2 linked regions of the Notamacropus eugenii genome follow. The protein of the gene in region 2 binds, or shares a complex with, the protein of the main gene of each other region. Links are inferred from orthologs where the notes say so. Each region holds a gene or a part of one and is shown on either strand. Other genes may lie near its edges. The genes, in order: KATNA1 and KATNB1.

Region 1 (16,521 bases), on a different chromosome or scaffold from region 2:
CTTTTCGTAAATTATAATCTTAATACTCAAAGAAAGATATTCAGTACAGCTATTCAAGGGGATGGTAGACATGAGACACACTAACTTATAAATATATAGTGAGAAGACCCAAAGCTATAAATTTATATTTGACTTTACAGATAAACAGTGGTTGGGTACAAATCATCCTTTTGACAATCTATATTAGAACTATCACACTGGATAGGCAAAGTAGCCCTTGGCCCAATATAACAACTTAATTTCTTACCCATTTACTAAAGCAAATTTATGTTTTAGGAGTTTGAGAGTAAGTAAAACAGGCCTTAAATAAATCTTGATTATGAGAGACATTTAAATATGAAAAGAGGGGTCAATACAAATCTTGCCTTTCAGTAACTTATAATTTTACTGTTATAAATGACTATGAAACAGTTTATTAAATTAGAGGTGGCAGTTTTATTCTTTCAAAGATCCTATCATAGATTTCTAATTTAAATATTTAACTTTTTTGCAATTAAAAAATTAAAATTTCCTCTTTTCATTTGGTAAATTGCTTTCACTCTATTATAAAATCATCAAGTTCTCTGAGGTACTGAACGCATAGAACAGAATCAACAACAGCAAAATGTCACACAATGGTACATTTAGGGACCTTTAAAATAGCACAAATAAATATTTACTTTCTGGGAGAATCAGATATATGCTACAGGCTAAATTAAGAGAATATACTGTTTTTACTTTAGAATAATTATATTTTATCTTTATAACATTGATTAATATTAACTAATATAAGTATTAATATAATCAGATTTTATCTTTATAGTAATAAAGGAAGACAAGGTGGAAATTTGTTTTGCTTCATTATGTATATTCATTACAAGAATTGTGTCTTTCTTTGCTTTTTCAACTGGAGGAGGGAGGTACAAGAAAAGGGAATGAAGATAGGGTTCTAAAAAGGGGGGGAAGTGGAGAAAGACTTAGGAATAGAAGACCAGAAGGAATCACAGACAAGCAACACAGATCTGAAAATTGCATACTGAATTTATTATGCACAGTTATGCCTTCTGCATCACAACTTTCTCCATTGCGGTTTTGATATATCAGAAGTCAGCGTAAGAAATTAAATGGAAATTTTGGGAGTAGTTTTATGGAACTTTGCATGCAAAACACGCAAAGTCTAACAGATAACACAGTAAGCCAAATACTTAACCCAATTTTTTACAATAATACTGTAAACACCCCATAAAAGAAAAAGAAAAAAATTGAGACTTCTTTTCTGGATGAAGAGAGGGACAAAAAAATTTCACACTGAGTTTCCAGATCATGGGAGTGTTGTACCCCTAACCTTCCTTGCCAATGTGGAAGGGACAACTGTACTTTAAAAGGGTTTCACAAACAATCTCCTGTTTTACAAAATATAGAAATGCTAATTTTAGAGACTGAAAGGATATTGGGACAGAAGAGTTTAGGGGGAAAGTGAATGAGTTTAGTTTTAGACACGCTGATTTCCAGATGTCTTCAGGATATCCAGTATGAAACAGACAACAAAGAATAGGACTAAAGTTAAGGTAGAGATTAAGGATGAATACATAGATCTAGGAGTCTTCCGCATAGAGTTAATAGCTGAGCCCAAGGGTGCTAACAGGGTTACCAAGAAATGACTGAGGAAGAAGAGGAGGTAAAGACTGAACTTTGGTGTATACCCACAGTTAAGAGGTATGATATGGACGCTGAGTCAGCAAAAGAAATGGAGTAGTCAGACAGTAAGAGAACCAGGAGGGAACAGTCACAAATAGCCAGCAAGGAAAGAATATACAGGAAGAAAGAGTGTTCAACAGTGTCAAATTAAATCAACAATTAAAATAATGACCAGCTGGGGAGCAGTTTCAGTTGAGTGATGAGGTTAGAAGCCAGTTTTCAAAGGGTTGAAGAATGAGTGGCGCATTTCATCATGAGTCCTCTGCAATCATGACTGGTCACTATGTTGATCCGAGTTCCTAAATCTTTCAAAAATGTTTATCTTTACGATACTGTTGTCACTGTATAAAATATTCCGGTTTCACTCACTTCACATGACATCAGTTTATACAAGTCTTCCCAGGTTTCTCTGAAACTTCCCCCCAAATTCTTCCTTCCTTGAAACTTCCATATTTTTTTTTGAAGATGCCAACATCCTTTCAATCTCTTGGGACTGTAGCCTTATCTAAGACTTCTCACTCTCCTGCATTTCTTACAGCGTAAAGTATTCCATCATGTTTCTGTATCATAACTTGTTCAGTCATTCCGTCAAGAAATTTTCAATTCTTTGCCACTAAAGAACTATAAATATTTTTGTAAATCTTAGTTTGTTTTACTTAGGACTAAGTCCCCTCCCCTTATTTCCCCTTTTTCCTTCTCTCCCCCTTTCCTTTTGCTTCCCTGATGAGTGAAATGTATTTTCAAACTCCTTTGTGTATGTATTCTTCCCTCCTTTGACCAGTTTAGATATAAATAAGGTTCAAATGTTAACTGCTCCCTCATCCCTTCTTCCTTACTAGTATAGACTTCTATTTGTTCATTCTTTTTATACAGGATAATTTTTCCTAATCTTCCTCCTCTTTTCTCCTCACCTCCAAGTTTTCCTTATCTCCTTCTCTGCCATTCTTCTGAGATCAAGATAACAGAACCACTCCCAGTCATTCTAAACAGACTCCTTCAGTGACACTTAATGATAGGATTTGGAGGGGACAAACGTCTGTCTCATCTCTGCATATTCCAACACAAACAGTTTATCCCTGTTTGTTCATGATTATCTATTTGTTTCTCTTAACTCTAGTGTTTATGATTCAAAGTCTCTACTTAGCTCTGATCTTTTCATCAGGAATGCTTGGAAGCCCTCTAGTTCATTAAAAATTAATTTTTTCCCCAAATAGCATTACATTCAGTCTTGCTGAGTAAGTTATTCTTAGTTGTAATTCTATATTCTTAGGCTTTGGGAATATCGTATTCCAAGGTCTCTATTCCTTTAGAGTGATGGCTATTAAATCATAAATGATTCTAACTATGGTTCCTCAGCATTTGAATTCTTTTTTTCTGGCTGTTTGCAATACTTTTTTCTTTGATCTGGAAGCTCTTGATTTTGGCTATGATTTTCCTGGGAGCTTTTTTCCATTTTGAGGTTTCTTAGAGCAGGAGGTGATCTCCTTCTGGGAGAACTACTTTGTTCTCTGATTCTAAGAGATTTGGGCAGTTTTATGATTTTTTAAAAATATGTCTAAGCTCTTTTCTTTTGGTCATGGCTTCTAAGTATTCCAGTGATTCTTAAATAATCTCACTTTGATTGTTTTCCAGATTAGATGTTTTTTCCATGAGACAATTTATATTCTCTTCCATTTTCTTTTTCAGTCTTTTGACTTTGTTTTAGCATTTTTGTTGTCTCATGGAATCTTTAGCTTTTATTTGGGTTCATTCTCATTTTCAGGGAATTTGTTATTAGGGTAAAGCTTTAAATTTCTTTTGTCAAGCTATTCTTTTTTCCACAGTTCTAATATCTTTTCTAATTTTCCCCTATGTACTTTAAATTACATTTTTAAAAAATCATTTTTAAGCTTTTCAAAACGTGCTTCCTCTTAGAAATTCTAGTTGAATTTATGCCCAACTTCCACTTTGTTTTGAGGCTTCGCTTGCAGATGTTACGAAAACCATTTTCTTCTACTGGGTTTGTATTTTCAGATTCCCAGTCAAGATATTAAGTCTTTAAGATTAAGTTCTTTTTCTGTTGCTTATTCTTCCAGTCTACTTCTTGACTTCAGACTTTATGTCAGGCAGGTTTTGCAAGCTTTTGGATGAAAGGTCTGGACTGGCCTTTTTGTTGCTTTCTTGGGGTACTGACTACTGGGTTATTTCAGAATTTCAAGGACAATTCAGGCTAGAGATCTGAAAGCTTCACTGCTCCCAAAGTGGTATGAGTCAAGGCCAAGTCTGATTCTTGCTCTCTTGGTATGAACTTTGCAAACAAAAGTTTCTGCACTGGGTTTGAGTGTGAGCTACAAGTACGTGGGCTTGACTCCTTTGGAGTTTCAATAGCTGCTGCTGACCTTCATTGTTAGCCACTAGGAAAGCTCTCCTGGTTCAGAATAACATAACAGCTGGCTCCCTTTTGGTCTGGGGCTCCTGTACTGGTTATTCCTCTGCAGGCTTCAGCCTGGTTTGGAGTTTGGAACTAAGACCCACTTAGATCCGAGCGTCCAAGCCACACAGCTGCTGCTTGTTACTGAATATGCTTCTTGCTTAGCAACCAGCTAAGGACCCCTGACCAATCCTCACCTTAGAATGCCATCCCTCAGCAAAGGTCCCCTCTTCAATCTGCCCTGGATCTGTGGCCCAAAACTGGGTAGTGTGTCACAGAGCTGCCAATGGGTGGCTTTTCCAGAACAAGTTTAGGAACTTCTATGCTGGATCCAGGACCTCTTCTTGCCTCTTTCACAATGGAATGCTCCCAGCAGCATGCTCCTCACCAGACCCTGTTCCCAAGGTCCACACACTTCTCCCTATTCTGACATGGGCTGGAAAAAAATGACTCACTTTCATCTCTTTTTCTTGGATTTCCTGATCAGGAATAAGTCCGGTACATTTTTTCTAATTCTGTTTGGAGGACTTGTGATGGGGGTGGGAGGGAGGAGGAGGGTGGAAGTAATCTATTTTTTTTTGACTGCTCCACTAAGTAGGCTCCCTCTAGCCCTTAAATTTATTTTTAATGGGACTCAAGAGAACAAAGACTTTTTGGCAATTGGGGAGGGATTTTTCCTACTGCAAAATACTCTTAATAGCAAGTTTAGGCAATGTATTATTCAATGCACTCTTTCAAAAAGTAAGTAAAATAATGTCTTATGTGATCTAGAATTAATTAGAAATGCAAAAATCAACCAATATAGAAAGACTAACTTTAATCTATACTAATACACTAAGCAGGACAAAATATCCATCCCATATTGGTTTTTCTAACACAAATAAGAAAACTTTGCTTGCTAATCACAAAAAAATAATGGAGGCATACTGAGAAATGTCCTGTCATGAAAAGTGGCAATGTGAAAAGGGCACTGAATTTGAAGTGATTCAAGTTCTTAGTTCAAGTTCTGGCCTAAACACTTAAAATTTGTGTGATTTTTGGGTTTTACCTCTCAGGTCACAATTTTCTCATCCGTAAAATGAAGGAGCTGGACTAGACAACAGCTTCTAAGATTCATTCCAACTCTAAATCTTAATAGTGCAGAATTACTGCAAGCACCCACACTCCCAAGGAAGAGAAGAACCCCATATTATTAACTATGGTAGTCAATACTTCTTGAGCTACTCATATATATAATATATATATATATGTATACACACACATATATACATACATATGTATGTATGTATGTATGTATAAGGCCGAATACAGAATAAATGCTTAGGAACTGCTTGATTAACTAAATGATCGCTAAACGTTATGCCACAATCAGAGGTATATGCTAAAGTGAAGAAAGTCAGAAAATCAAGTTCAAATATTGTCTTTTATATTGTATTTGTGTGACCTTAAGCAAGTGGTTTTGCCTCTGTGGGTCTTGATGTCCTCATATATAAATCAGGGATGGACAGTGATAGCACTAGAGATTTCCAAGTTCCCTTCCAACTCTAAAGCTATAATCCAATGGGGCTACCCTGTATTTAAGACTTATAATAAAATTAGGGATGCATGATGCATACACAAATAAATAAACATTTTTTTAACCTCTTTGTGAAGTGAAAAGGGAGTAAGGGGTAGAAACCAGTGATAAGTAAACAAGGTTTCTCTACCTTGGCTTTAAAAAGTAATGTTTATAGCAAATTTCATCATCTGGTCAGATATTCCTTATGGGCAATGACCTGTCATTTTACAATTTTGTTGTTTTAAAAAGAATCCAGTTTAAGAAACATCTAGTCCTGTAAAAGACAGGTTATTGATTATATAGCACAATCACTCTGTACCAAGCACTGAAAGAACATTTTCTTTACTCTTTTAGACAGTTTTGTAACCCTAAACACCATCTTCCTCCCCAATTTAATGACAATACTGTATAGTTCTACAAGATTCTCACCCTTTAATACTCACCCTAAATTTCCACTAAGCTAATGCACCTAATTTTAACTATAATTTTTGAACACTAGTTATTAATTCAACATTTTAATGCAATCCTACAAAAATTAATTTTTCATAATTTTAACAAGATAACGAACTATATTTTTGTCCAAAAAATTTCAAAGAATTTTAACTTCATAAAATATTACTTCTCACAATTATCACAGGTTGCACCTACATCATTCCAGAACAAGCTTTTCCACTTACTCTCATCCCATGAGAGTCATCCTTTGTTTAGGTGGCTTGTGAGGGATTAATGACTTAACTGATGACTAAACTCATTAAAATTAATTGAGCAAGATGCTAATAAAATAAGCAGCAAGATCAGATTTTTAAATGAAATGCGATGACATCTGATGTTTCGGAAAGGTCAGACCACATGTGATATCTATGTAGTAAGTGTGAGTACAGTTCTTTTATTCACATACAACTAGGAAATAATCAAAAAGGGGAGGGGGGGGAAAATACTTTGTTAAGAGAACAAGCAATTAAAAAAAACCTTACTTACTCTTTAGCCCTCTATCTCCTTTCCTCAAAGCTCTCAAAAGAAAAAAAAATTCCTCTGAATTTATTTTTTTGAGGTGCTGGGGTTTGGGGACATCCAAGTATGGGGGCATTGTTAAAATATGGACAAAAATCTATGAAAAATTTTTTGCTCCTTTCTGCAAGACTGGCTTACTCAAATATATAAAAAAGATTAACTATACATTACCTGAAGTCAAATCAAAAAGTGTTTAATAAAATACACCAGAGTTCAGTAAACCAAATTTCAAAAAAAGGACAAGGTGTTACACTGGTAAATAATTCTGAACTAACATCTGAGGTCTGTAATTAGATTTTGCAGATATTATAAATCAGTCACTGGTAATGATGAATAATCACTAATGAATGACCCATGACCACTTAGAACTTGGTAGATGTTTTTGCTCATTTTAAAGCTTGACAAAGTTATTGCTGTGATACAAGAGTATCTTAGAGTAACCTATGTTTGGAAAGTATTTTAAAAATTAAACATTTTAAAGATGGGGGATTGAGGACACTATTCTTTATAGTTGTTAAGAAATGTAACTTGAGGCAAGAAAATGACTGTAATGGAAAAAGTCATATACATACTCATTTAACGATAAGATATAAAGCTCAATTTATCCTAGACAAAACAGTGGGTGATGAAGAAATACATAATTCAACAAAAACATAGACAAAAAGTCATATTTAAGTTAAGCTACCAAACAAGCAGGATGACTAAATGTACTCAGCATTTTATCAGTAATCAACATTCTACGACTCAACATACTATGCCTTCTGACAAAGAACACTATCTTTGTAAAACAGTCAATAAGGTTAAAAGGAAAACATTTAGCCCTATGCTAAAAAAACTGAAAATTCCACAATGTACTTCCTACCAAATTTCTGAAGTGTATTATCTAGGACTGGGTGGAAAGTAATCAATACTGTCTTTTAAAGTTTTAGCTTATGACATAAAGCTAAGAAGAAATATGTAACAGTATACGATTATCCTCGCTTCCTGGAAAGGCTGCTAACATTTATTTGTACAAGAATGCCCATCGTGCCAATTATCCTTCCAATTTTTTAAAAAGTCTCATTCAAGGAACCACCTTTAATTTCTAAAAAAGTTTTCATCCTCCTCTGGAAAAGTTGGGCTACTCCGTATGTAGATAACATACATTATTACATACTCTATACCGAGAACTTTTCAGCCTGTACGAACAGTACCTAAATCACATCAGAAGTGTTCTACCATTGTGACTGGGAAGGAAAGGTCTGTGCACACATTCTAAAACACCAGCAATGTTGTTTCACAATCCAAGAAAGGACCCAAGTCAAAAGCTGAACTGTTTTAAGAGGGAGCCTTCGGGAGTCACAATTCAAACACAAAACACTGGCTTCGTTCTTCACAAGGTGCTGGCGTGGGACGAGAGAGCCTTTCCAGTGGAGAAAAATCACGTTCCTCAGAAACTTTGCCATTAATGCAACAAGGAGTAATATCCGGGAAAAAACAACATGTAATAAGAAACTTTCCCCAAAACTACTTTTTTTTTAAAGGGGGGGGCAATTAGAATTTGACAGCGCTACGAGAAACTAAAATAATTACTCTCCAAATGACACAGGAACTTAAAAGCCAAAATAGGGCATTCGTTTAAAATCAAGAAGAAGAAAGTCTTCAAATAAAGAAGGGGGGTGTAGAAAGGAGGCTTCCAACGCCGCGGCTGCCCGGCCGGCCTCCGGACCTCTCGGGTCCCGCGAGGCTGGGGGCGGGTTGGGGTCTGGCCCCAGGCCCCCGGGAGGAGGGGAAAGCCAGGCTCGGAGAAGCAGGTGTGTCAAGCAGCCAAGTCGGGGCCTGCGGGCCGGGGATCACTAGGAACAGAAGGAAAGGGATCCGCACGGAATGCGGGGCGGGACCCCCGGCCTTCCCTCCCCCACCCCCCACAGCCTCAGCGCCCGCGGCCTTAGAATCGGGGGGGAAGGAGGGAAGGAGGGGAGAGGCTCACCTGGGTCCGCCTCGGCGTCCGGAGCTGGAAACTGTCCTCCGCGGCTGGGGGGCGAGGGGGCGGGACGGACCCTTCGGCCCACCCCCAGCAGCAAGGAAGAGAGGCTCTCGAGCCCCTACCCTGCACTTCCTCGCCCAACCGCCACCCCTCCGGCGCCGCCGCACCACCTCACAGAGAATTTGAAGTCAAACCCGCCAGGGTCACTTCCGGCGGTGGCCGCGGCGGCCCAGGCGACATGGGCGCATGCGTGGGAGAAAGGGAACGCCCCGGGAGCGAGGACGAACGGGGCGTGCGCGCGCCTGGTCTTGGAGAGCGCGCAGACGTCGGCAAGCGGGTGGGGCTGGCGGCGAGGACCGCAGCGGCGTTACCTGTCGCGAGCGCTCTGAGCGCCGCCGCGGCAGCTCCGACGCCTGTCCCGGAGGACCGTGCGGGCGGAGCCAGCCTGGCCCGCCCTTGGGGGATCCTCTCCGGGAGGGGTAGGCTGCCATTAGCGAACTCCCCCTCCGCCGAGAGGGGTCTTCTGCTCCTGGACGTCTGAGGCCCCGTCAGCCCTGGCTCCAAGCCGGAAAAAAAAGACTGTATGGAGAGACAGAGAGATAGAGCCTACCCACATCGCCACACGTGCACACGCGCACGCGTGGGATTCTGAGTCTGAGTGCCCCTTAAGTGGATGTAGCCTATACACGCGCGGAGTCCCGAAAGCCTCGGTGCAGCTTTAAACTTCAGTAGCTTTTGAGAGAGTAGTGTGTGTGTACGCATTTGTGTATACGCAGTCAGGTGTGTGTGCACGTGTCGTGTGACTATATTGTATACATTACATCCTGTTTATGCTTTAATTCGTATTTGCTCGGTAGACAATTATGTTTATTTAATGCGCATGCGTACGTGTGTATGCGCAACATACACCTGTGCGTGCCTATATACGTGCGCATCGCGCGCGCACAGGTCCCCAAAAGTGGTAAAGCGCTTCTTCTGTAACTGCCCTAGGACTTTGGGGACCCCCGATGTTATAGCAGGTCCGACTCACCTTTTCACAGCGTTAGCTTCCTCCATTCCATGCAACAGAACAAACTGCATTCATGCAGGGCTTAAAAGGTTGGCAGGGTTTTATATGTTACCTCGTCTGATCCTGTTATCCTTTCTTTTTTTTACAGATGAGGCTGAGAGGTGGTTTGACTTCCGTGGATCCACAGCCAAGGACTTGAACTCGGGTCTTCCTGTCACTACGCTTGGCCGCGCTGTCAAGGAGCTGCCAGCTAGCTTACCAGCTGTTGCTGAAGTAGTGCCTTTGCTTTCCCGTCTTTAGTTGCCCCTCCCCACCCGCTTAAAGCCTTGCCTGAGACCATTAGCTGGGAGCTCTCTCTTCTCCCCTCACCCTTCTGTTACTGTCTGCTCCTTCCCCGCGAGTCCCGCAGTGAGGTGGCGCTTCTCCTTGCCATGGCCAACACCTTCCCAGATACAAGGGATCCCGTTTATTCCTGCTTCCTGTAGCGGATCCCCCCCTTTATCATCTCGACCCTCTCGTTGGTCTTGGCGACCTCTCCTTTTCCTCTGACTGCTTCCCTATTGCCTACAAACACGCCCGCGTCTCCACCATCCTCAAGAAATCCTTCCCTGATCTGCTTATCTCCACTAGCTATCATCTCTTATCTCTTCTCTCTTTTTTGGCTAAATTGGCTATTTATAGAATGTACGTGGAGAACCCATATAAGATGGCATGCCTGTCTTGGGGAGGGAGGGAATAGGGAGGGGGAGAAAATTTAAAACTTATGGAAGTGATTGTTGAAAACTGAAAACAAATTAAATTTTTTAAAAAAATAAAATCCTTTTTGAGCTACAAAAAAAGACTATAATCAATGCCTCCCCTTCTTTTACTTTCTTCTTAACTCTCTGAAGTCTGGCTTCATGCAGACTTCACATCATGCAAACAAAACTGCTCTCCCCAAAGACACCAATGATCGCTTAACTGCCAAATCTAGGCAGATTTGTTGTTCAGTCAAAAGTTCGGTTGGTGAGTAAAAAGTGCTTTGCTTTCCTGCTGTTGTTCAGTCATTTTTCAGCTAAATATAAGATAGGAGAAGGAGTAGATGTATCCACAGTATCTTGGAAAGTTCAAGATTCCCAGTTACTGAATCTTTAGAGGGTCAGTCAACTTGGTTGGACTAGGGAGTGAATGGACTCAGATCCACCATCCACTTCCCTACAATCTCCATGTCAGGATGATGAAAGCAAACCCTTCTTGTCCCTTTCTGACCCCTTTCTTCCAACTCTAATTCTGACAACAGTAGTTGAAATCAGCCCTATTCTTCCTGGAAAGGACATGCCAGTCAATGGTCCTGTGACTCCAATCACCTTTCCCTCTGCCTTCCCTGTCCAAAAGCACTCTTCTCCATGAACTCCCCATAGGCAGACATTAAAAAACAGAATCCAACAACATATTGTTTACAAGAAGTACACTTGAAATACAAAGTTCTATAGAATTTAAATAAGAGGCTACAGAAAAATCTAAATAAAAAAAGCAGGGGTAGCAATCGTGGAAAAAGCAAGAGCAAACATAGATTTGATTAAAAGAGATTCACATGGAAATTACATTATTCTGAAAGGTACTTTGGACAATGAATTAATAAAAGTACTTATTTGCCCAGAATGGTATTATATCCAGAAACTTAAAGGAAAAGGTAAGTGAATTATAGGAAAGACAGACAAAACACTCCTCCCTGGCTGAGATGCCTTTATATGCATTGTGTTCTGTTAGAATGGATACTTTTTGAATGTCAGGACTCTTTTGCTTGCCTATATTTGTATCCCCAGTACTTAGCAAGACTCTTGGCACATGGTAAAACTTAAATGTTCATTCATTCATTCACTCTGTTCTCCGTAGGGCAAGGTTTGCCACTGGTCTTAACTATAATGGATTGTAAAAGCAGTGTCACACAGACTTAGGTCATAAGAATCACCTAGGACAACCTGCCTATCATACATTTGCTCACTTAGGTATCTGCCACTTGTATAGACACACAGTGTTATGATAAATTAGGTAATAGGTTTGGCAGCTAGAAAATTGGCCTTTCCAAACACCATGTAATTTGTTTCAGCCTTGCCAGTATGTCTCTAGTTCCAGCAAATGTAGGGTCCAAGAAATGGGTGGCAAATCCCAAATTAGTGATGGATAATAATGGTCACCATATTCCCCTCAGGACACTTAAAGTGAAAGTAGAGGTTTTCAAGCATTAGCCAGAACATCTACCCCCTTACAATGTAAGGATTATGTTGATTCTCCTGATTCCAAAATGGGATGAGGTCAGGGATTATGGCCAAAAATCTACCACAGTATTGGCTAAGGTTTTGTGAGTTTGGAATTTTGTGATATGGAAAAGTTCACATGGGAGTAAGGCTCAGATGAGGACCAGAAGCAAGAGGTGGTACATATAGAGAAGTCTGTTATTGGAATTCCACGTATGAAATACAAATCAAACATGGGTCTGAGGTAGAAGCTGTATCTGAAGAGTAATGCAAAGTCAAAGAAATCCAAGATGCATACAGTATACACAGCCCAAGGTCAGCCTATGTTCAGAGAAATTGTATGCCCAACTTGATCTGAGCTTGAAGAAAGGGTTTGTACACATTTTGTCACATGTAAGCAACTGAGCAAATCAGAGTCCCTTAAAGTCCTGGCATATGATTTCTTTATAAGTCTTGTACCCTCTTTGTACATCTGAACAAGATTTAACTATGGTCAGCTCCTAGTTAATGGGAAAAAAACTGTCTTGAATGTAGTAGAAAAGAATGAGAATTTGGAAGTGTGCCCAAAGGGCTATAAAACTGTGCATACCCTTTGACCTAACATCACCACTACTAGGTATGTATCCAAAAGAGATTTTTTAAAAAGGGGGAAAGAAGGAAGAATCTATTTGTACAAAAATATTTATAGCAGCAATTTATAGAATTGCAAATTGAGGGGAATGCCCATCATTTGAGGAATGGTTGAACAAGTTATGGTATATGTTTGTAATGGAATATTATTGCGCTATAAGAAATGATGAATAGGATGGTTTTTCCTTTTTAAAAATTTATTTTTTATTTTAAAAAATTTATTCATTTTTACTTTTTATATTGATTTTTATAAGATTTTGATTTCTAATTTTCCCCTCCCCCCACTCTCCCCTACCCAAGACAGCATACAATCTGATGTAGCCTATCCAAGTATGATCACATTAAACAGGTTTCCAGGTTAGTCATGTGAAAGAAGAATCAGAACAAAAGGGAAAAATCATGAGAAAGAAAAAACAAAAAACAACAACAACAAAAGAGAAAATAGTCTGCTTCAATGTGCATTCAGATCCCATAGTTCTTTCCTCTGGATGTAGACAGCATTTCCCATCATGAGTCATGGAATTGTCTTAGATCATTGCATTGCTCAGAAGGGCTAAGTCTAACAAAGTCGGTCATCACATAATGTGACTGTTACTGTGTGTGGTGTTCTCCTGGTTCTGCTCACTTCCCCCAGCATCAGTTCATGCAAGTCTTTCTAGGTTTTTCTGAAGTCTGCCTGCTCATCATTTCTTATAGCACAATAGTATTCCATTACATTCATATACCAGTCATTCCTCAATTAATGGGCATCCCCTCAAATTCCAATTTTTGGCCACACAAAAAGAGCTACTATATTTTTGTACATGTAGGTCCTTTTCTCTTTTTTTATGATCTCTTTGGGATACAGATCTAGCAGTGGTATTGCTGGGTCAAAGGGTATGCACAGTTTTATAGTCTATTAGGCATAGTTCCAAACTGTTCTCCAGAATGGTTGGATCAGTTCACAACTCCACCAATAATGTATTAGCTTTCCAATCTTCCCACATCTTCTCCAACATTTATCATTTTCCTCTGTCATCTTAGCCAATCTGATAGGTGTGATGTAGTACCTCAGAATTGTTTTAATTTGCATTTCTCTAATCAATAGTGACTTAGAGCATTTTTTCATATGACTATAGATAGCTTTAATTTCTTCATCTGAAAACTGCCTATTCATACACTTTGACCATTTATCAATTGGGAAATGACTTGTATTCTTACAGATTTGACTTGGTTCTTTATATATTTTAGAAACAAGGCCTTTATCAGAGACACTTGCTGTAAAAACTGTTTCCCAGCTTTGAGCGGGAACTTTCCTTTTTGATATTTCCTCAGCCTTTGACACTATTTTCTTCTTGATAATCTCTTCTCTCTAGATTTGCATGACACCAGTCTATCCTGTTTCTCTTCCTAGCTGTCTGATTGCTCCTTTGTAGTGTTCTTTGCTGGATTTTCATTCAGATTGTACCTGATAATCATGAGTGTCTCCCAAGGCTCTGTGCTAGACCCTCTTCTTTTCTCCCTCCATTCTATTTTTCTTGATCTCCTCAGCTCCCATAGATTCAATTATCATCTCTATCCAGATGACTTTTTGAGTCATTTATCTAGACCTAACTTCTCTTCTGACCTTTGGTCTCACATCTCCAACTGTCTATGGAATAGGTTGCATTGGATATCTCATAGACATTGTAAATGCAACATGTCTAAAACTGAACTGATAATCTTTCCCTACAAACCTTCCTCTCTCCCCAATTTCTCTGTTATTCCTGGGGATACCACAATCCTCCCACTCAGCAGGCTTGCCACTTACGTCACCCTAGATTCTTTATTCTCTTACCTCCCATATCCAATCAGTTTCCAAGTACTGCCAATTTCCCCTTTGTAACATCTTGTATATATGTCCCCTTCTCTCCTCTGACACTGTCACTATCCGGGAAGAACCTCATGGTAGGTTGAAGAGAGTGCACATTAGATGAACTTCATTCTTATCTGAAATGATCAAAGAAGGGTTGAACACACAAAGAATTTAGTGTAGAAACACATCAAATTTTATAGGGAAGTAAGTGGGGATGCATGAAGATGAGAGAGGCTAATACTGGATGAGAAGTAGTAGAAAGTAAAACCAACATATGGATCCTGAAGGGTGAATTAAAAGAAAAAGAGATGGGAGCCTACCCCATGAAGAGGAATGGTTGAACAAATTGTGGTATATGAATGCAATGGAATATTACTACGCTGTAATTATGAAATTACAAAAAGCCAATTTCAGAGGACCAATGGAGGTTTCTGCACGTGTGGCATGAAAATGGAATATTAGATTATTCAGGCAGTAGTGTGTAGAGGGGTTAAAGAAGCAATAGACTGGGAAAAGGAAAACAGTTGTCATAATACTCTAAACAAGAAGAGATGATATAAACAAGGAGAATTTAGAGCTAGAAGAGATTTTAGGGGCCATTGAGTCTAACTTCCTTATTCTGTGAATGAGGCAACCAATGCCTAGAGTGGTAAGAAAAAGCTAATATGGAAAAATCATAAATGAAAAGCTGCTACTGGTTTAAGAAGGTCACAGGATAAAAAGAAACTTTACATTTTGAACATGCACTTCAGAGTGTGAAATGATAATCATTTAAGAAAATTAGAGAAACAGGAAGGGCAACAGGCTAAAGCAGATGAAATTATTTTCCCCAAGATACCTAAAATTAGCTTTTTAAAGAAAGATGTCATAGGGAAGTAGAGATTTAAAGTTGATGTCTTTCTTTGAGCTGTCCCATCATCTAAAACTGGAGGGAAGAAGAAAATTATGGATGAGGACATTAAGAGGGCTAGGAGTGGAGGGACTTTTGAGGAGCATCACAGTGGAAGGCCTTGATTTTTTCTCATTTTTTAAAATTCTGAATTTAACATCAAGTAAAATACCACAGTACAGAAGGAAGTACATGAAACCACATCTCCATTATATGTAGCTGATTTTTTGTTTTAAGTATATAACAAAGTCAATGTCACCTTCAAAATTATCTTACTTATCTTGTGGATCCTTTTGGTATTTCTTTTGCTCTATTCTGTACATTTTGAAAATGTTTCAATTATCCTTTTTCTTTAGGTGTGTTTTTCTTGGTACCCCTATCCCTAACTTTCCTTTCCTTCTCCACTCTTCCTCTACCACTTTAAAGAGGAAAAAGAGTTTTACAACAAATAAAGTCAAGTAAAACAAATTCCTATGATGTCTGTGTTAAAAAAAAATGTACGTCTTCCTCTGCATCTTGAATCCATCATCTCTCTGTCAGGAGGTGAACAGCATACTTCATGGAAATCATGATTGGTTGTTACATTGATCAGAGTTTGTCAGTCTTTCCAGGTTGTCTTTACGATGGTATTGTCATCTTGTGAAATGTTCTTCAAGCTCTGCTCACTTCATTGTCAATTCATACCAGTTTTCCCAAACTTCTCTGACATTATCTTTTTTTTTGTTATTTCTTATACGGCACAAAAAAAATTCCTTTACATTCACATATCATCAATGGTTCACTCTTTCCTCAAGGAAAGCCTTAATCTTAGCAAAGAAGGGAAAGTAGTCATTGGCAATGAATGGGTAGAGGAAAAATAAGAGGCATAGACTGAGCAGAACTGAGTTGAAAAGGGATTGCAGGGGTGGGGAACCTGCAGCTTCTAGGCCATATGTGACCTTCTAGGCCCTCAGTGCGGCCTGTTGACTGAGGTCAAGTTTTACAGAACAAATCCTTTTATTAAGGGGCTATGTTCTATGAGGTTTGGATTCGCACTTGGGGAAGGGAAGGGAAAAGGATGGGAGGGAAGGGAAAGGAAAGGAAGAAGGCAGTAAAATTCAGGTCTACTGGGCAACTTTTGGCCATCCAAATTTACCTTCCTTTGGAGAGGAGAAGGAAGGGGAGGGAGAGGCAGATAGGAGAGCAGGAGGTGAGGTACCCGGCTAGCATTCAGCCAGCTGCATCTACTCACAGGATCATGTTTGTCCTTTGTTGCCCAAGAAGACTTGCACTTGATGGATGGATGGTTTAGTGGTCCCCA
Region 2 (16,795 bases):
GCATGGAGGTGTGAGGAGGTGGACTGCTGGAAAGAAAGCCGTTTGGAGCCTGTGTCTGAAGCCTGTGTCCTGGCTCCTTACCCAGGGCCCACTGGGTTACTGGCTGGAAGCACATTTTGGTCACATTCCACAGAAATGCTGATTAATAGAGACACAGATGACATGGGACTGAGTTTTGCCAAATTCTCCTTCCCCAAGCAACAATACTCCCAAGGCCCTCTCCCCTCCTTTTCTTCAAGGGGCCAAGCAAAGACCCATGCCCTTTCTGACTAAGCTTCAAATCAAGTAGAATGGACTACAGAGCACGTCCAACAGTCTGACCGGCCCAAAGGCCATTTATTAGCTGTTCATTATCATTAATCAGCTATCACAAGCTATCTTGCAGACAACTTCTCCCCCTACCTGGGGACATATGGTAATTATTGATGACACGTGGCATTTTCCCCCACAAGACATCTCTCTCTCCTTGCCTTTCTTATTTCTGTCTCTTCCTCTCCATTCTCTTTTCCTTTCAACTTAAATCCACATTTGCTGGGCACTTACTATGTGCAAAGCATTGGGCTATACTACGGGGTTCACACACATGGACAAGATGACACCCCTGCAGCATTTACAGCTCAGCAGGAAGGACAGGACAGGGAGACGAGGACCCGCAGCGCAGTGTCAGAAGAGCACGACAGATCAAACCATGTGAGAAGGCAGGAACGAGAGGAGGAAAGGAGACCAAGGACTACAATGAAAAGCGAGATTGGGGCCGGGCCCAGGACGGGATTTTGGCAGGCACAGATGGGGCAGAGGACTTTCCAGGCTGAGAGGGCAATTTCACTAACAAGAGGAATGATGATGGGAATTACCAGGATGACAACTAGCACACCTAGAGCAGCGAGCTGGGCCCGGCATTAGGAGGACCAGCAATGGCTGAGCCTGGCCCTGCCTGCGTGCTGCCAAGCCGTGTGCACACCGGGCTGTCCTGGGCTCCCTGGCCCCCCACTGGGGGATCTGATCATTTATTCTCCCCGCTGGGGCCGAGTACCCCGTCCTTAGGCCTACAAGCACCGACTGTGTCAATGAATCCTTCACTGACAACAAGATGAAAGGTTTCTGGGAGGAGCGTTTTTCCTCTTCCCGCCCCATGAGGCCACAGAACCTCAGTGGGAACATAAGGACAAAAAGCATGGAGAAAAAGCAAGAAACCAACGTACTTTTGGCAGCTTCCAGGTCCCAGACTCGGATGGAGCCTGACTGGGATCCAGCCACAATGAGCTCCTCAGGGGTGTTGAGGCGAACACTCTCCACGGGGGACGTGTGGCCGGTTAAGCTCTGTGGGCAAAAGACAACAGGCCTAGAGCAGCAGCCCTTTTTAGGGAAGGGCCAGAGTCTCATTTTTTCCAGTGGAAACATAAAAACTGCGCAGAAATAGTATTGGACTGAGGATGAGGGGACTTGAGCTCTGGCTAACTTCTGGGGATATCACTTTTCTTTGCCTCAGTTTCCCCAACTCTAAAAGGGTGACAGTGTCATTCTAGAGGCTCTGATGCTGCTGCCCTTGCCTACCATTATTCTCCTCCCATGTGACCTTTTTAGCCAAAATCAGCAAAGGCAGACAGTCTTCTCCATGCTCTGCTCACACACGTGTATGCATGTGACACACACACACATGTCCCCACTCCCAAGACAACACGCAGAGCCCAAGTGAAGACTTGCAGCACACAGCACATGGCCAGAGCCAACAGGCCTACGGAGGGGGATGGATGCTGCTGTGACATGCAGGTTCCCTCTGATATTACCTGATCCCTGGGATGCTGCTACCATCCTAACTGCAGCGTCCAATTCTGCCATGCTCCCCAGGGGCTCAGCTTAGCACAGAGAGACTGTGAGAGACTCCTGCTTGGGAGATGAGGAGATTCTCACATAGGTCAGAGCAGGCAAGAGCCGTTTCAATAAATACCCCAGGAGAGATCAAGGGGGCTGGGGCTTGAGGTCCTGGCAGGGGCAGAGGTAGGCAGACTCTCTTGGCCCTGGAACTGGGCTGACAGGCATAATCATTGTCTCCTGCCACCCTGGCCTCACTCATCACACTGGGAGATGAGTGATCAGAGCTGTTCCTGAAAATGGACCATGCAGTTTGCCCATGCATGGCTCATCTGAAGAAGATGCCCACGTTTCCTGGGGGACAAGTCATCCAAAGAGTAAACACTGAACAGCAGCTCCCTCCTCATCTGACTGAATGCATGCTGATTTAGTTCCCATTAAGAGTGTCATCTCCCAAGTGGGCCTGTCCCAAATGGAACTTGATTCTTATCAGCTGAAAAATGGGTCTATTTTTCAGGGACGGAGAAGCTCCCATAGTAGCCACATCCTTTGCTCATCAGGCCCTTCCCAAACCAGACACTGCTCCTGCCAATTGGTTTCAGCTTGTCCATTCTGCCCTCTATTCTTACTATGTCTTTCTTAGAATCACAGATTTGAGAAGCCATCTGGCCCACCACTCTCACTTTACAGATGAGGAAACTGAGGCCTTGAGAGGCTAAATGACTTTTCCAAGGTAACACAGGTTGTAAGTAGCAATCAGGATTCACACCCAGGTCCTTGAACTCCTCCCCAGCCTGTAGGGCCTCAGAGGCTCTAGGCTCCTTAGGCCTTGGTGGGTGGGCTATCAGGTTAGAGTGGACATCTCTCCCAAGCTCCTTGGAGTCACTTAGTAGCACAGTGTAAATGGATTTGAGGGAAAGATGAGTCAGTACCTCAGGTCTGGGGCCAGTGCCTGGTTCTGTCATCTCCTCCCAGACCCTGCCCACTCCCCATCTGGTGTTTCTTACCATGATGCAGTTGGGCTTGTTAACTGACCACAGGTTGACCCGACAATCATCTCCTCCCGTTGCTAAGAGCCGTCCTGAGCCCTTGCCCAACACCAGGGAAGACACATTGCTGGCATGGGCCACAATTTCCTCTAGAAAATGGAACAGAATGGAACAGAGACACAGGGTCACTGGAAGCAGTGTACCCAGAGGGGTGAGGAGCTGTGTCCCCCGACACTACCTGCCTTGTTGCCTGAGGCCTGGTTCCAATCAGGATCAGCTCAGAGCTTGAAAGCCCTAGCAGCCTCAGCCTCCAGGCTCCAACTCTATGGCTTCCTTCTATCACCTGAAAGGCTTAGTGGGGACCACTCTGAACTACAATTGAGGGCTGAGGAAAGGCTGAAAGCCCCATCCTAGACAACAGCACAGCGGCTTCCTTAAGGCTATACATGGTCTGCAGAGAGGAGTCCAGAGGAGGAAGTGACCAGCAGGATCCCCTTCCTAGTCCACAAAGGGCTCTGACATTCATCCTCAAGGAAAGAGAATGGCCCAGTGACTAGGGTATGGTCTCTGAGGAAGACCCAGGTTCAAACACAGTCTCTGACACTTAATGCCTGTGTAACCTCAGGCAAGCTGCTGACCTCCCTGGGCCTCAGTTTCCTCCTCTGTAAAATAAAGGGGTTGGACTCAAGAATCTCCAGGTTTAGACCAACAATTTTACTGATCATCACAATGCTCCTACAAACTGGGGAGAGAAATTCTTATTACCTTTATTTTATTGAAGAGGAAATTGGGCCCCAAATGGTAAATGACCAGCCCCTGGTCAATCTTTCAAGGACCATAGATTCAGAGTGGGAAGGAACCTCAGAGGCCTGGAAGACCAACCCCTCATTCTATAGAAAAGGACACTGAGGTCCAGGGAGGTGAAATGCTCCATCCCAGGCACGTGACCAGGAAGCATCAGAGCCCATGTCTGAGCCCACCTGGGCTGGAGCCTGAGCTGCCTCTGGAGGCGTGACTGAGGTGGCGGAGTGTGAGTGAGGTCCTAGAAGAGGGGACAAATCTAAGGAGGGGAAGGACACAGGAGGCTGTGTTCAGCTGCCAGAGCCAGGGTGATGCAGGGCAGGAGGAGGTGAGAGGCTGGGCATTGGGTCATCCCTGACCTGCATTTGGCAAAGGGTTCCCACATGGCAACTACACAGTCCTGGAGGGCCGGACATGAAGCAAAGCATGGACCCAAGAAGAAGAACTTAGTGTTCATGTCTCAGGTGTCAAGGGAGTGAGTGAGAGGACCTCTGGGGTAGTCAGCATGGCTGACCTGAGCTGTGTCAAGGACTTACAGCAGCACTGACTGTGCTGGGCTTTCCTAGATCCCTTTCCCAGGTGGCAGAGCAATCGGGTGCCAAGTTTTCTGCTTTCACAATGGGGCAGGGGCATCGTGGGGGTGGAGGGGGGGCAGGGTCGCTGACTCTGTCCCGGAAACACAGCTGGACATTGAGGCATATTGAGCTCTGAGGGGCCCCTGGAGCACAGACTTCGAAGGGCCCATCAGCTGATGAACCAACATCCTCTACAACTGCTGCTGATGACTGGGAGTCTACAGGGCAGTCTGCACATGCGAGACTATCCTTTCTCTTGAAGATCTCAAAGTAATTCTAATACTGTGTTAACCCTGCAGAATGGCCTCATCAGGTACGTAACTACAAGCTCCTTACTAAAAACAAACCTGAAGACCAGAGGGCAGAGAGACCAGGGGCAGGGTCACCAGCCCCTGAGGTCAGGGGTGACAGCCCTAGGCCCCTGCACTATGGCCACAACCAGACCCAACTTCTCCTTGGTCATGGGGCTCTCCCCAGGTTTCTTCCTGTGTGAGCGCTCTGGGCCCCTGGTATTTCCCACTGAGGACAGCTCTCCCCTCAGGGCTCTGTTCTCTGAGGAGCTCTCAGGGTGTATTTCAATCGGATTAAGCCCCTTTCTATCCACCCTCCCTGGGGACCTGGTCTAGGCTGCGACACTATTACTAAGTGATCTTGGGCAAGTCACTTCCCACCCCTGGCCTCGGTGTTCCCTTCTGTAAAATGGAGCTACTGACTGGATGTTTTGTGCCTCTTCTGCGGCTGCAGAGCACACTTCCTAGAGACCAAGGCAGTGACTCTGCAGGAGTGGGGGAGGGTGTCATGCTGCACCGAGATTAAATGGTCATCAGGAAAAGAGCATTTAGGCCCTGGAAAGATCAACAGGCAGATGCAGGGGACACAACTAAGCAGGGAATGGAGAAGGGCTTCTGATCTGGGAGGGCCAGGGCAAGAGACACATAATCAACAAGAAAAATGATGGCTAAGGTGCTTGTTGAAAATAGCAGTGACATCATCCATCAGTGCCAAGAGGAGAAAACAGGCTGCAAGCCCAAAGGGAAGCCACGCCTGCCTGCTGCCATCTGCAGTGAGCCAGCCTCTGGGTCAGCCCCAGCCTGGGCCCGGGCAAGGGGAGCCTCCTGTCCTAAATCTCATCATGTCTGTGCCATGGCCAGGGCTGACAGCACCAACTGCATCCTGGCCACCGGGGAAAGGCCTGACCTCCGGACCACAGCCCTGGACCACTCTGACAAGCAGAGGTCCGGCAGGAGCTGCTTCCAGACCAGAGGAACTGGGTCCTGCAGCAATCCATGCATGAGTGGGACAGGGGGGAGTCCTCGGCTTAGATCACCACTCCTGTCTTGGTCTCTGGTCCCTGAAGAATCAGAGCCCACGTCAGGTTCGTGGAGAAATTTCTCAGACACAGCAGCCCCATAACAGCTCCTGTCTCACCAAGAAGGCCTAAGTTCCTTGGGACAGTTCTGACATGGGCACCTGCTTACATCTTAACTAGGACTTGAGGTGGCCAGGATCACTGACTGAGAGCTGGAAGAGACCTCTGAGGTCAAGAGGGGAGAGACCTACCTAAGCTTCCTAAGCTCACACAGGCAGTGAGTAATCCTAACCTCCAAACTCTGATCCTCATCCTCAAACCCGACTCTCTCGCCACTATCCCAGCTCCGTACAGTAAGAAGCAACACTCTAGGAGCCTGGCCATGGTGGGAAAAGGGAGTAGGTCAATTGTCTGGCAGAATGATTCAGAGGGAAGTCAGGTCTTGTCTTCCATCTCTAGTCAGTGACCCTTTGCAAAGGTGTCACCCTGACAAGGAAACAACATTATTTCCTGTTATAAAATTCCCCTAAAGGTTGCAGCAAACCATCAAGGGCATGTTCTTTAGTCTACTCTGTCCAACCCATCAGCCTAACTCAAAATCCTTGAGCCAATAAGAAAGGATGCTGAAGGCTAATATGCGTCCCCTCTGGAACTCTTCATTCTCCACAGGACAACAGGTGGCTAACAAGATTAACAAGTAGACAGCAAGAGAAAAAGAAAGGCAGGAGACTCACGTAGCTTCCATGCGGTCTTGGTAACAACAGGGGTCGCCATTTGTGCAGCCTTTCCTTTCAGTTGGCGTGGACCCCCAAACCAACCAGGAAGAATTGCGAAGGGAGCACTCCACTTTCCCGGTGGGGTGGGGGAAGAACCCCCCCAGACTCAAGTCTCAAGTTGGAGCGTAGTTTCGACACATCCAGGCAGAGATAATTCCCTCTTCTGTGGCCCTTTGTTAAGTCCCGTTTTATAACATCCAAGCAAGCAGTTTGTGCCTAGCAGTACACATCCCAGAGCATGAAGAATCAGTTTTGGTCCATTGTACAGTTATGTTGACCTGAAAGGGAAACAAAAATCCATTTAAATTTACCTGACATACCATGAGTAGGGGCATGAGCTCTTGATCTAAAGGAAAACAACAACCAGTACAGGTATCCAGTCCCCTTAATAAAACCTTTGGCTTTGGAAGGAACGAGGAGGTATGTCTAGTGTTCTCAGCAGCAGCATCTACAGAGTGGGTTCTCTTAAATATGATCATTTTGATTAGCAACAGAAAAAGTGGATTCTTATGAAGTCTTCAATATGACCACAGAGACAGCCACACAATGTTTGTTTCCTAATATCAAACAAATTCAGGGAAAGGCTTGATTTTTACAATGACAAAATCCAAATCACTAGAGGTACCACCCTCCTCCTCCCTTGCCAATCAAGCGATAGAATCAAGTGATTCTAAAGAAGGCTGACAAACCTGTGCCAGCCCACCCAACACTCAGCCTTTTTCAGGGAGTTGTTTCAAAGCAAGACGTTATGGAACTGAAGAGGGGGCAGGAGGAACCCCTACCTCACAGGTCCCAAAGGAAATCATAATTTAATCCTAAAGAGAATATCTCTTTATAACAGAACTAAGGAAGTCCCATTCTTCCAGATCACTACTTTCCCTTCACTCTCCCCAGGGCAGTAGCCAAAGGGGTTGACTTGGTTATTGTTGGATGTGTTTGTCCTTCATTCTCAAAGAGGACCATGACATCAAGAGGATGACATGACTTGCAGTTGACTTTGATTTGAGTGAAGCAAGGTTGTGCAAGGTCACCAGCCTCACTTTCTTCTCCTGAGCCATCTGGGTCCAGGGGCCTTATATTCATCAGGATGACTGGAGATGGTCCAGGATGCAGTGTGGGACCCTGGTCCTTTCAGGCTAAGGTCTTAACACATTCTCACTTTGAGTGAGAACCATCCATTCCATGAATACGCTTCTTTAAGTTACACAAAGGATGACCCCTTGAATCAAAAACAACTCAAACTGGGAGGGTGAGACCCTCAGGGTTCCTGGGTAAGAGAGAAATAACTACTATTTGGTTATTAGACTTGGAGAAAGGGCTGTGAACCTGAAGCTTGACAACCAGCAGCAAGGTGTCTCCACAGGCGCCCAGCCACACCTGGCGATCCCTCCCTCCTCCCTCCCTTGGGCCCTCGCTCCTGCCCTTCCTTCCGTCCTCTTCCACTGTGTCTTCAGTCTCCCACCTTCTTATTTCTTCTTCCCTCCCCCTTCCGCCCCCCTGCATTCACTCCTTCAGTCCTTCTGTCCATCCACCCACGGCGCCCCATCTCCCTGCCCTCCGTTCGCCCCCATCACCATCGCCATCTTCTCCCTTCATTCTGCCCCCCATCTTTCCGTCCTTTCTCCCCACCCCTGCGCCCCCCAATTCTGTCCCCTTCCCTCTTCCTCTCCGCTCCATCGCCCCATTACCTCCATCCTTCTACACCCCCAATTTCTCTCCCTTCCTCCTGCCCCTCCACTCCACCCTTCGGCGCCCCTGGCCCCGCCCCCTCAGGTCCCCCCTCTTTATTCGTCCCCCTCCACCCGGCGCGCGCCGTTTCCGATCCTCCCCCCCACCCGGCCGGGGGTTGGTGGGAGCGGGGGCCGGGGCCGGGAGCCTAGGCCGGGCCGTGGAGGGAAGGCCGTCCGCTCTCGGCCTCTCGCGGGGCCCCCGACCCCGGCTCCACGGCTCAGGAGGCACGGACCCAGGCCGCTCCCTGCCACCGCGGCCCTTCAGCCCCCGCCCTCGCCCCCTTCTTCACCTGCGGCGGGGGCAGCGGCGGCGGAGGCTGCTCGGACGGTGGAGGCTCCGCTCCCAGCGCGGCCCCCACCTGACTCCATCCTCGGACCTGATTGGTCGCTGCTTGACAACCGACCCTCACAACAAAACCTCCGGCCTCCGTCCCCGCCTACCTTCTCCCTCAGGCCAATCAGCCGCCGCGGATGCCACGCCTTCCAGGAAATCTTCACCAATCAAGAAAGGCTCTGCTGCCGCTCTCCCTCATCACGGCCCCTCTTTCACTAATTTCGACTAATCACAATGAAAGGATGTTCGAGGTCTTCCCCCCGGTCTATGGTGAGCCAATGTGCTCCTGCGATTTCTTAAGTCCCGCCTCTACCTCGGAGCTCCATCCATCCTGGTCCCGCCCCCCGCCACCTTCCTCCCCATTCTCATTTAAGTTTGAAAGTCTGCGGCACGCCTCCAACGGCGTCCGCACCAATCCCCTTAGCAACCGTCCAGATTCCAACCAATCACAGTTGTCATTGTTGGGAGGCCAGTCGGGCTTCAGCCAATAGAAAGAATCCTGAGGAGAACCGTGAAGTAGTTGGGCTGTCGTATTGATTTTGGGCAAGTCTGAGGCGAGACTCTTCCCCCTGCCCCATTCCCTGATATCTTAGTGTCCAAAGTGGGAAAAGTGACCTTCCAGAGTTGACTCCTTCCTCTACTCCAGCCCTGGGGCTCAAGAGTCACGAGGAAATTGAGTCCACGTAGCCAAGTGGTCAAAGTCCAGTTTTTCAAGGAGTGGGTGCTGGTTCATAGGTCGTAGACTTGTGGAGCTGGGAAAGAAGAAGGAGATCCCAAGTCCAGAGAGGGTCCAAGGCCAGGAAGGCGGTGATGAGGTCAAAGGAGGAGGCCACCCCGAGAGCAGCCCTTGGTGGGGTATCCAAGAGCTGGAAGGAAAGTGGGAACCCATTGATTGACAAAATGGCGGCACCACGTGTAGCAAAATGGCGGAAGCCAGTGTAACCTATGAATGGAATGGAATGGATCTTACTGTTCCGAAAGAAATGCGGAGATGAAGAGTTCAGAGAAACCTGTGAAGACTTGTATACACTGATGAAAACCCAATCAATGCAAAGAATGGTGGTGACTTCAGGGGTGCCTCTGACCCAGCAGAGAGGTGGTGGACTGGCTCTGGTGTGGCTCTCCCATGTGGCCAGCTTGGTGGTGGACTGGCTATAGTGTGGCTCTCCCATGTGGCCAGCTTGCTGCTTTGCTTAATCATGCTTTGTTAAAAGAAAGGGTCATTTTTGGAGGAGGGGAGAAGGGGAGAGAGGAAGAGAGCCTTTGGAAAATAATGATGTAAAAAAAAGACAAGACATTTTTAAAAATATTGTAATTCACAGGAGACTCTAACTTTATTGACCTGTTTCAGATCTTATCAGTCAGCAAGCAAGCAGTTTATTAGGATCTTACTATGTGTCAGGAACTTTGCTAAAAACTGGGATACAGAGACAAAAATGAAAAAAATGTCTATGAGATAAAAAGACAAAAAAAAAAATCCCTGACTTCAAGAGGCTTGTATTATAATAGGATAGCATGTACATGCACAAGTATGTGTGTGTATACATATACATACATATAATACGCACACATGCATATGTGTATAAGTATACTAGTAAATTTCCTTGTATACATTATATATAAATATATATAATATGTTTATTATATAAACCATATAAATATATTAATAAACTATATTCTATGTAATTTATATTATATGTGCTACATATAAAATACTGTTTTATATATATCAATGTATTCAAGGGAATGCACTAGAAAGAGGGGGAGGGGGTTAGGCATCAGGAAAGGCTTCTTGTAGACTGTGTGATATGCTGAATTTTGAAGGAAACCACAGGGTTTTTTGGGTTGTTTTTAAGGAAACTAGTCATTCTAAAGGGAGAGATAATGAAGTACACTGCTGGCATGGAGGAGGGTCAGTGCAAAAGCATAGAGACAAGATGGAATAATGTGTATGTAAAACCTATTGAGTAGGTCAATATAGCTGGATCAAGAAGTTCTAGGAGGGGACTAAAGTTTAAGAAGACTGGAAAAGTAGGTTGAGGCCAGATTGTAAAGAGATTTAAAAAACATAAACATTTGATCCTAGAGGTACTAGGAGAGGCAGCTAGGTAGGGCAGTGGACAAAGAGTTTGGGACCTGGAGTCAGGAGCACCTGAGTTCAAATCTGGCCCTAGACACTAGCTATGTGACACTGGACAAGTCATTTCACCCTGTTGACCTCATCTGGAAAATGAGCTGGAAAAGGAAATAGCAAACCACTCTAAAACCATCTCTGCCAAGCAAACCTCATGACTGGAAATGACTAAACAATAAGAATAAAAACAAGAAAGGAGTTTATTTAGAGGAATGGCATGATCAGATCTATGCTTCAGGAAGATCACTTTGGTAACAGTGGGGAGAGACTTGGAATCCACATAGGAGGTATTGCAATAGTCCAGTAATGAAGACCTGAATTAAGATGGTGGTGAAAATGTAAATATAGAAATGTCAAGATTTGGCAATTTAATTGGGTATGTGTGATGATACCAAGGTTGTGAACTTAGGTACCTGGAAGGATGATAGTAGTCTTCACAATAATAGTGAAGTTTGGAGGAGAAGTAGATGCAGAGAAGTTCTGTTTTAGACATTCAAATTGAGATAGCCTGTTATAAGTGTCCAATAGGCATTTGATGATCCAGTACTGGAACTCAGCAGAGAGACTAGGACCAGATATAAAAATCTGCACAGAAGTAGTCATTGAATCTATGGGAGCTGATAAGGTGGTCAATTAAGAGAGTATATAGAGAAAAGAGAGTTTGGGATTTACTCACAATAGTGGACTTGACATGGATGATGAATCTGAAAGGAGACTTGAGGAAGGATTAGGTGGAAGGAGAATCAGGAGAGAGAAGTATCTTGAAAACCCAGAGAAGAGAGAGTATCCAGGAGATGATCAGCAGTGTCAATGTCATAGAGAGGTCAAAAAGAATGAGGACAGAGAAGAGGAAATTTGATTTATCATTTGAGAGATCATTGGTAACTTTGGAGAGAGCAAGATCAGAGGAATGAAGAGATCAGAAACCATATTGTAGTGTACTATGAAAAGAGGAAAGAAAACAGTCACTTTGTGAAGATTGCTTTTTTAAGATTTCCTAAGAAAAACAGTAGAGAAATAGTGATAGTTATCAGAGATGATGATCTAGTGAGTTTTTTACTTCTAAGGATCAGGGTAACGGGTATATTTGTGGTCAGCAGGAACCAGTAGACAGAAACAAAGTGAAAAATAGAGTGATGATGATAATGATGATGATGATGATGATGATTGGGAGTAATCTAATGGATAAGATGGGACGAGATGGGATACATGGGCCCATGTAGAGGGGGCCTTGGTGAAAAGGGACACCTTTTTAACAGAAATTGGAATAAAAGAAGATATGATGGGGTATTATGTAAAAGAGATGGGAAGTAAGGAAGGGTTGGTAGGTGGGGAGAAGGGAAAGTAGGGATCTCTTGGTGAATGGTTTTGTTATTTTTCAGTAACTGAGGGGCTCAGCTAAGAGAGTAGGAGAAGTAGGTACTGTGGAAGCCTAGAAAAAAGAAAAGAAACTTTCAGAACAGCCATTATTGAGAATGGGATAGAAGAGTATGAAGGATTAAAAGGATTGTTTTTCAGTGATTATACACTTGAGATTTGATAATACAGATTTGTAGTAGACCTCATCAGTACAGTTGCATGACTTTCTCCAGCTTGCAGCAGCTGAGTAGGAGTGGAGGAAGTGGTTTGAGGAAATAAATCCAGGATCAAGTTTTGACAAGATCCAATCTTTGAATGTAAAAGGGAGTAAAGCATTCAAGAGTAGAGGATGGTTTAGAGTCCAACAGGGTCCCCAAAAGGTTGAGATTGAGACAGAAGGAGGCAGACAAAGCAGGAGTGATAGCCTAGCAAAATATGACCACTTGTCTGGTATGTTATAGTGGGCGTTCCTTTTGTAAATAGGTTGGATTAGAAGTTCACTGAAGAGTCCCAATTGACCAGTTTTGTGATTCTGTGATACCAGAGAGGAGAGAGATTACATGTCATGGTGAGGAAAAGAATATAAAACAAAGGGAGAGATATAGTGATAGGAGGTTGTGATCAGATAAAGGAATTTCTCAGTTCTCAGTCATGGAAGCAGGACTTTTATGGGTAATGGATAGATCAAAGATTTTGACAATCTCTGTGGATCACTGAAATAGAATTGAGGAGTAGGTATGGGAATTGAGCAAAGTGGGGAAATGGGAGATCAGGCTATTTGAGGCTGTTTGACTTCAACAAGTACCTTATCAATGTCAAGTATTTATTAAACACTATATGACAGACACTGTATTAGGCACTGAGGATACAAGTACAAATAAACTGTGAACCATGTACTCAATTCATTGAGAAAGGAGGAAGAATATCCTAGAGATCAGTAAAATAGTCACTTGGATCTGGATAAATTTGGAAAGCATGAACTTCAATGTGAGAAAGGTTGCTGAATGATGGTAATGTTTACCAATGCTAATGAATAAAGCAAGAGATTTTTTTTTAAAGAGTTCAGATTACAAATGAAATTATTTTAGAGGAAAAAAATTGGGAAAAAAAAAGCACTGGAGAAAAGATTTGGAAGGAGAATTTAAAGTTTAGTATAATAAATATAAAATCTTGCTCAAGTAAAGGATTCTATAAAAATTAGAATTTTATCAAATAGAAATTAATGACTTCATGAGAAAACCAGAAGTATCTAAACAAAGTCAAAATTCTGGGAGAAAGAAGAGAAGAAAATGTAAGTCAATTCATGAAAAACAACTGATTGGGAAAATAAGTCCTGAATTACCTGCTTACTAAGACTAAAAATCCCAAACCCTAAAATACTAGTAAAAACCCCTGTATATCACATTTCAAGAAAGCAGGAAAGTAAATTGTCTAGTTCTCTTAAAACCAGAAGGCAAAAAGTGAAAATAGAAAGAATCCACTGGTCATCTCCTGAAAGAAACCCCAAAATGAAAGCTCCCAGGAATGTCATAGCCAAAATCCAGAACTTCCAGGTCAAACAAAAAATGATGCGAGCAGCCAGAAAGAAAGAATTCAAATACCAAGAAGCCATAGTCAAGTTTGCACTAGATTGATTAGCCACCCTTATAAAGGAGCAGAGAGATTAAAACACAACATTCTGAAAGTCAAAATATAGAGGCTTACAACCAAAAATAACTTACCCAGCAAAACATCCCCCGAAAAAGCAAAAAAAAAAAAAAGTTTTTATAATTCTGCAGAGGAAAAATTAACCTTTAATGAAACAGAAGATTTCTGAGTATTCCTAATAAAGAGATCAGAGTTGAGTAGAAAATTGAAATATTAACACAAGTTATGAGAAAACATGAAAAAGTAGCTTCACTTAGCAATAAGAAGGGTCCATACAAAGGTGAAGTCATTTGAAGTACTAGTACTGAACACACTCCTGTTTTAATCACTCTCTTTTTTGTAAAGACAGAGATAGGAGGCAGGGGAAGAGGGAAAAAGAAAACATAAGATAAATTGTTGGGAAATGGAAAACTAATCATTATAACTATGAATATAAATGGAATAAACTCACCCATAAAAAGGAAGAAAATAACAGAATTTATTAGAAACATCATCCAAAAGTATGTTATTTTAAAAAGAAACACACAGTTAAAATATGAAGCCAGAACAACAATAAAAACTATTATTCTTCAGCTGAACTCAAAAAAAGCATATTCATTATCTCAGACAAGTCAATGGCAAAAGTTACCGTGGTTAAAGAAGATAAGACAAATTATGCTGAAAGACACCATAGACAATGAATTAATATAAATACTTGACATATATGGATCAAAATTTTGGGGATACAGCCAAAATAGTCCTTAGGGGAAAATGTATATCTCTAAATATTTTCCTCACTAAAATAGAGAAATAATAAATCAATGAATTAGGTGTGCAATTAAAAAAACTCTAGAAAACCAACAAATTAAAAACCCAATTAAACAACAAAATAAAAATACTTAAGATCAATTCAGTCCTCTCATTTTCCAGATGAACAAACTGAGATTCAGAGTAACTGAATGTGTCTGAGAAAGAATTTGAACTCCAGTTTTCTTGATTCCAAATATATCACCATCCACCAAGTCACACTACCCAATGTATTGAAAACTGGTCATTTGTGTGTTCAAGGCTAGCTCTGCTTATCATTCTCTATGTCCCTTCTGGCTATATTCAGAGCTGAGCACATACAAGCATATTCCACTGTTCAGCTGATGATTGGTGATAGGAGAGGTAACCCTAGATACTCAGACTTAGTTTTAACTAATGAGAAAATTAGGAGAAAAGATGGATTCAGGGTAATAAAGTAGCTCTCAGATTAATGAGACCATGTTCTTGATGATTTTACATTCTTTAATCCTTTAAAGTGATTTAAAAAAAAAAAAGACCATGTATTTAAATAATAATTAAATAATCCAAATCCTTAGGGAAGGGTGGGGCCAGGGAAACATAGCCCTGGAGTTCTCAGAAAGGCCATTGCAGCCTCAATAGGGTTGTTAAGATTATCTTTATGGGTCTGTTGCAATGTTGTGTCCTGAGACTATCACAGTGACCACATAGTGGTCATGTGACCCTGATGGGACGCTACCGATTGATCAGGGGAGACCAACTGTCTGACACTAGATAAATGTCCTGGGCCTTATCAAACCCCAGTGCAGGAGACAGAAAAGAGGGGAGGGGGACAGGATAGAGGGAAAAACTTGGTCTGGGTTCCCAAAACCATTCATCAAGATTAGAACCAGGAAAAATTATGAAGTGGACAAAACCTCCATTCTCCATCTCCATTTAATTAAACACACACACAACATTGATTAATCACTTACTATGTGGAAGGCATTATGCTTGAAGATGACTAAAACACAGTGCTAATTTCAAAGAGCTTACATTTTATTGAGGTACAGGAATAACGTGCACAGGTAATGCTGAATATATATGTCAGGGTATGACTGGAGGAAAGATGAAGCTGAACGCTTTGGGGATATTTAAGGAAAAAGAGACAACGCCAAGGATGGTGGAAGGGGTGGAGATGGGGGCAGGTGGAGCTTAGGCTTCCCAGAGATGGCATCATCTAAGCTAAAACTTTGAAGGAATTTCAAAGGAAAACTTTGAAAAGACAGCAATTAGGAGGAAGTGCATTTTTTGGCATGAAGCACAGCCTATGAGAATGTATAAGGGTGGGAGTTTAAATGTCATTGAATTCAGGGAACAGATGTCCAGTTTGGCTGGAATAAAGATTGTGAGGAAAATTAATGTCAACTTGTCAATTAAGTCGGTCAAGAAACATTATGTGCCCACAAGGTGCCAGGCATCTTGGTTAAGTGGTGGGGATACAAAGAAAGTTAAAAATAGTTCTTGCTCTAATTGGGGAGACAATATACAAACAGCTATGTACAAACAAGAGGTATTCAGGATAAATTGCAGATAATCAGTAGAGAAAAGGCATTAGTATTCAGAAAGATTCTTGCAAAGGGTGGGATTTTAGCTGGTTTTTACAATAGTCCAGGCAAGAGGCTTTGAACCCAGTGCAGGTAGATAGAAGAGAATGGATGTGAGTTATTGTGGAGGTGAACCAATAAAATATGGGAGGTCACTAGATGTGGGTGCTCTATGGTCTCTAACTTACAGAAGAAGCAACTGAGCCTGAGAGAGGTCAAGTGATGTCCAAAATTACACAACTAGTAAGTATTTTATGCAGAATTCAAATTTAGGTCCTCCTTGACTCCAAGTCTAGCTCTCAATTCCAATAAGATACTTCAGGATTTCATAACCTCTGGCCTACCTAACTACAACAGCCTTCTAATGGGTCTCCTGACCTCAAGTCTTTGACCCATATTCCATGTGACTACCAAAGCCTAAAGCACAGATCTGATCATGTTACCTGTCCGCTTAATCAGCTCCCATAGCTCCCTATTATTTCTAGGAAAAAATACAAGCCTCTGTCTTTCATTGCTTTTATTTAAAAATAACACTTATTTATAACATTCATTAAAAAACAGCAACATTGAGTTCTAAATTCTCATTCTCCCTTCTACCCCTTTCTCACATATTGAGTAGGCAAGAAATATGATCTCCATTGTACATATGAAATCACACAATATTTGTTTTCATATTAGCCATGGTACAAAAAAGTGAAAAAAATTATGCTTCAATCTGCTCTCAGACTCCATCAGTTCTCTATTTTTCACCATAAGCCCTTTGCAATTGTCTTGGATCATTGCTTTGGTTTGAATAGTCAAGCCACTCCATTGATCATTACATAAAATTGTTTTTACTGTGTTGAATGTTCTTGTGCTAATGCCCGCTTCACTCTACATCAGCTCATGTCAATTCATAGTTCTCACTTCATTCTGCACCAGTCTTCTGAAAGCATCTTGCTCATCATTTCTTACAGTAAAATAGTATTCCATCAAAAT

Evidence for each region.
Region 1: the proteins of KATNB1 (region 2) and KATNA1 are in contact, whole or in part, in a crystal structure (PDB 5OW5), measured with the Mus musculus proteins. The link is inferred for Notamacropus eugenii from reciprocal best matches to the Homo sapiens genes KATNB1 and KATNA1. Residues at the interface, in NP_083081.2 of Mus musculus: Leu485, Val486, Asp487, Glu488, Ala490, Met491, Gln493, Ile494, Arg495, Gly497, His498, Met501, Phe502, Val504, Leu505, Thr506, Arg508, His509, Leu512, Asp513, Val515, Arg516, Trp519, Thr521, Asp542, Leu543, Ile546, Gln549, Lys550, Leu553; in NP_035965.2 of Mus musculus: Leu5, Gln6, Ile8, Val9, Val12, Arg16, Ala19, Leu20, Leu21, Gly22, Tyr24, Tyr31, Tyr41, Leu50, Lys53, Trp54, Gln56, Val57, Glu60, Ile61, Val63, Glu64, Gln67, Val68, Asp70, Ile71, Thr74, Leu75, Ser77, Phe78.

Annotation. Positions count from the first base shown.
Region 1 is NC_092873.1:241,693,681-241,710,201, forward strand, and holds the start of KATNA1 (katanin p60 ATPase-containing subunit A1), read right to left. Parts: upstream 8,758-16,521; 5' UTR 8,626-8,757; intron 1-8,625. UniProt on the Homo sapiens protein: Catalytic subunit of a complex which severs microtubules in an ATP-dependent manner. Microtubule severing may promote rapid reorganization of cellular microtubule arrays and the release of microtubules from the centrosome following nucleation.
Region 2 is NC_092872.1:716,382,294-716,399,088, forward strand, and holds the start of KATNB1 (katanin p80 WD40 repeat-containing subunit B1), read right to left. Parts: upstream 8,694-16,795; 5' UTR 8,434-8,693; intron 8,390-8,433; exon of another isoform or gene 8,283-8,389; intron 6,541-8,282; 5' UTR 6,261-6,540; coding exon 6,221-6,260; intron 2,951-6,220; coding exon 2,820-2,950; intron 1,321-2,819; coding exon 1,203-1,320; intron 1-1,202.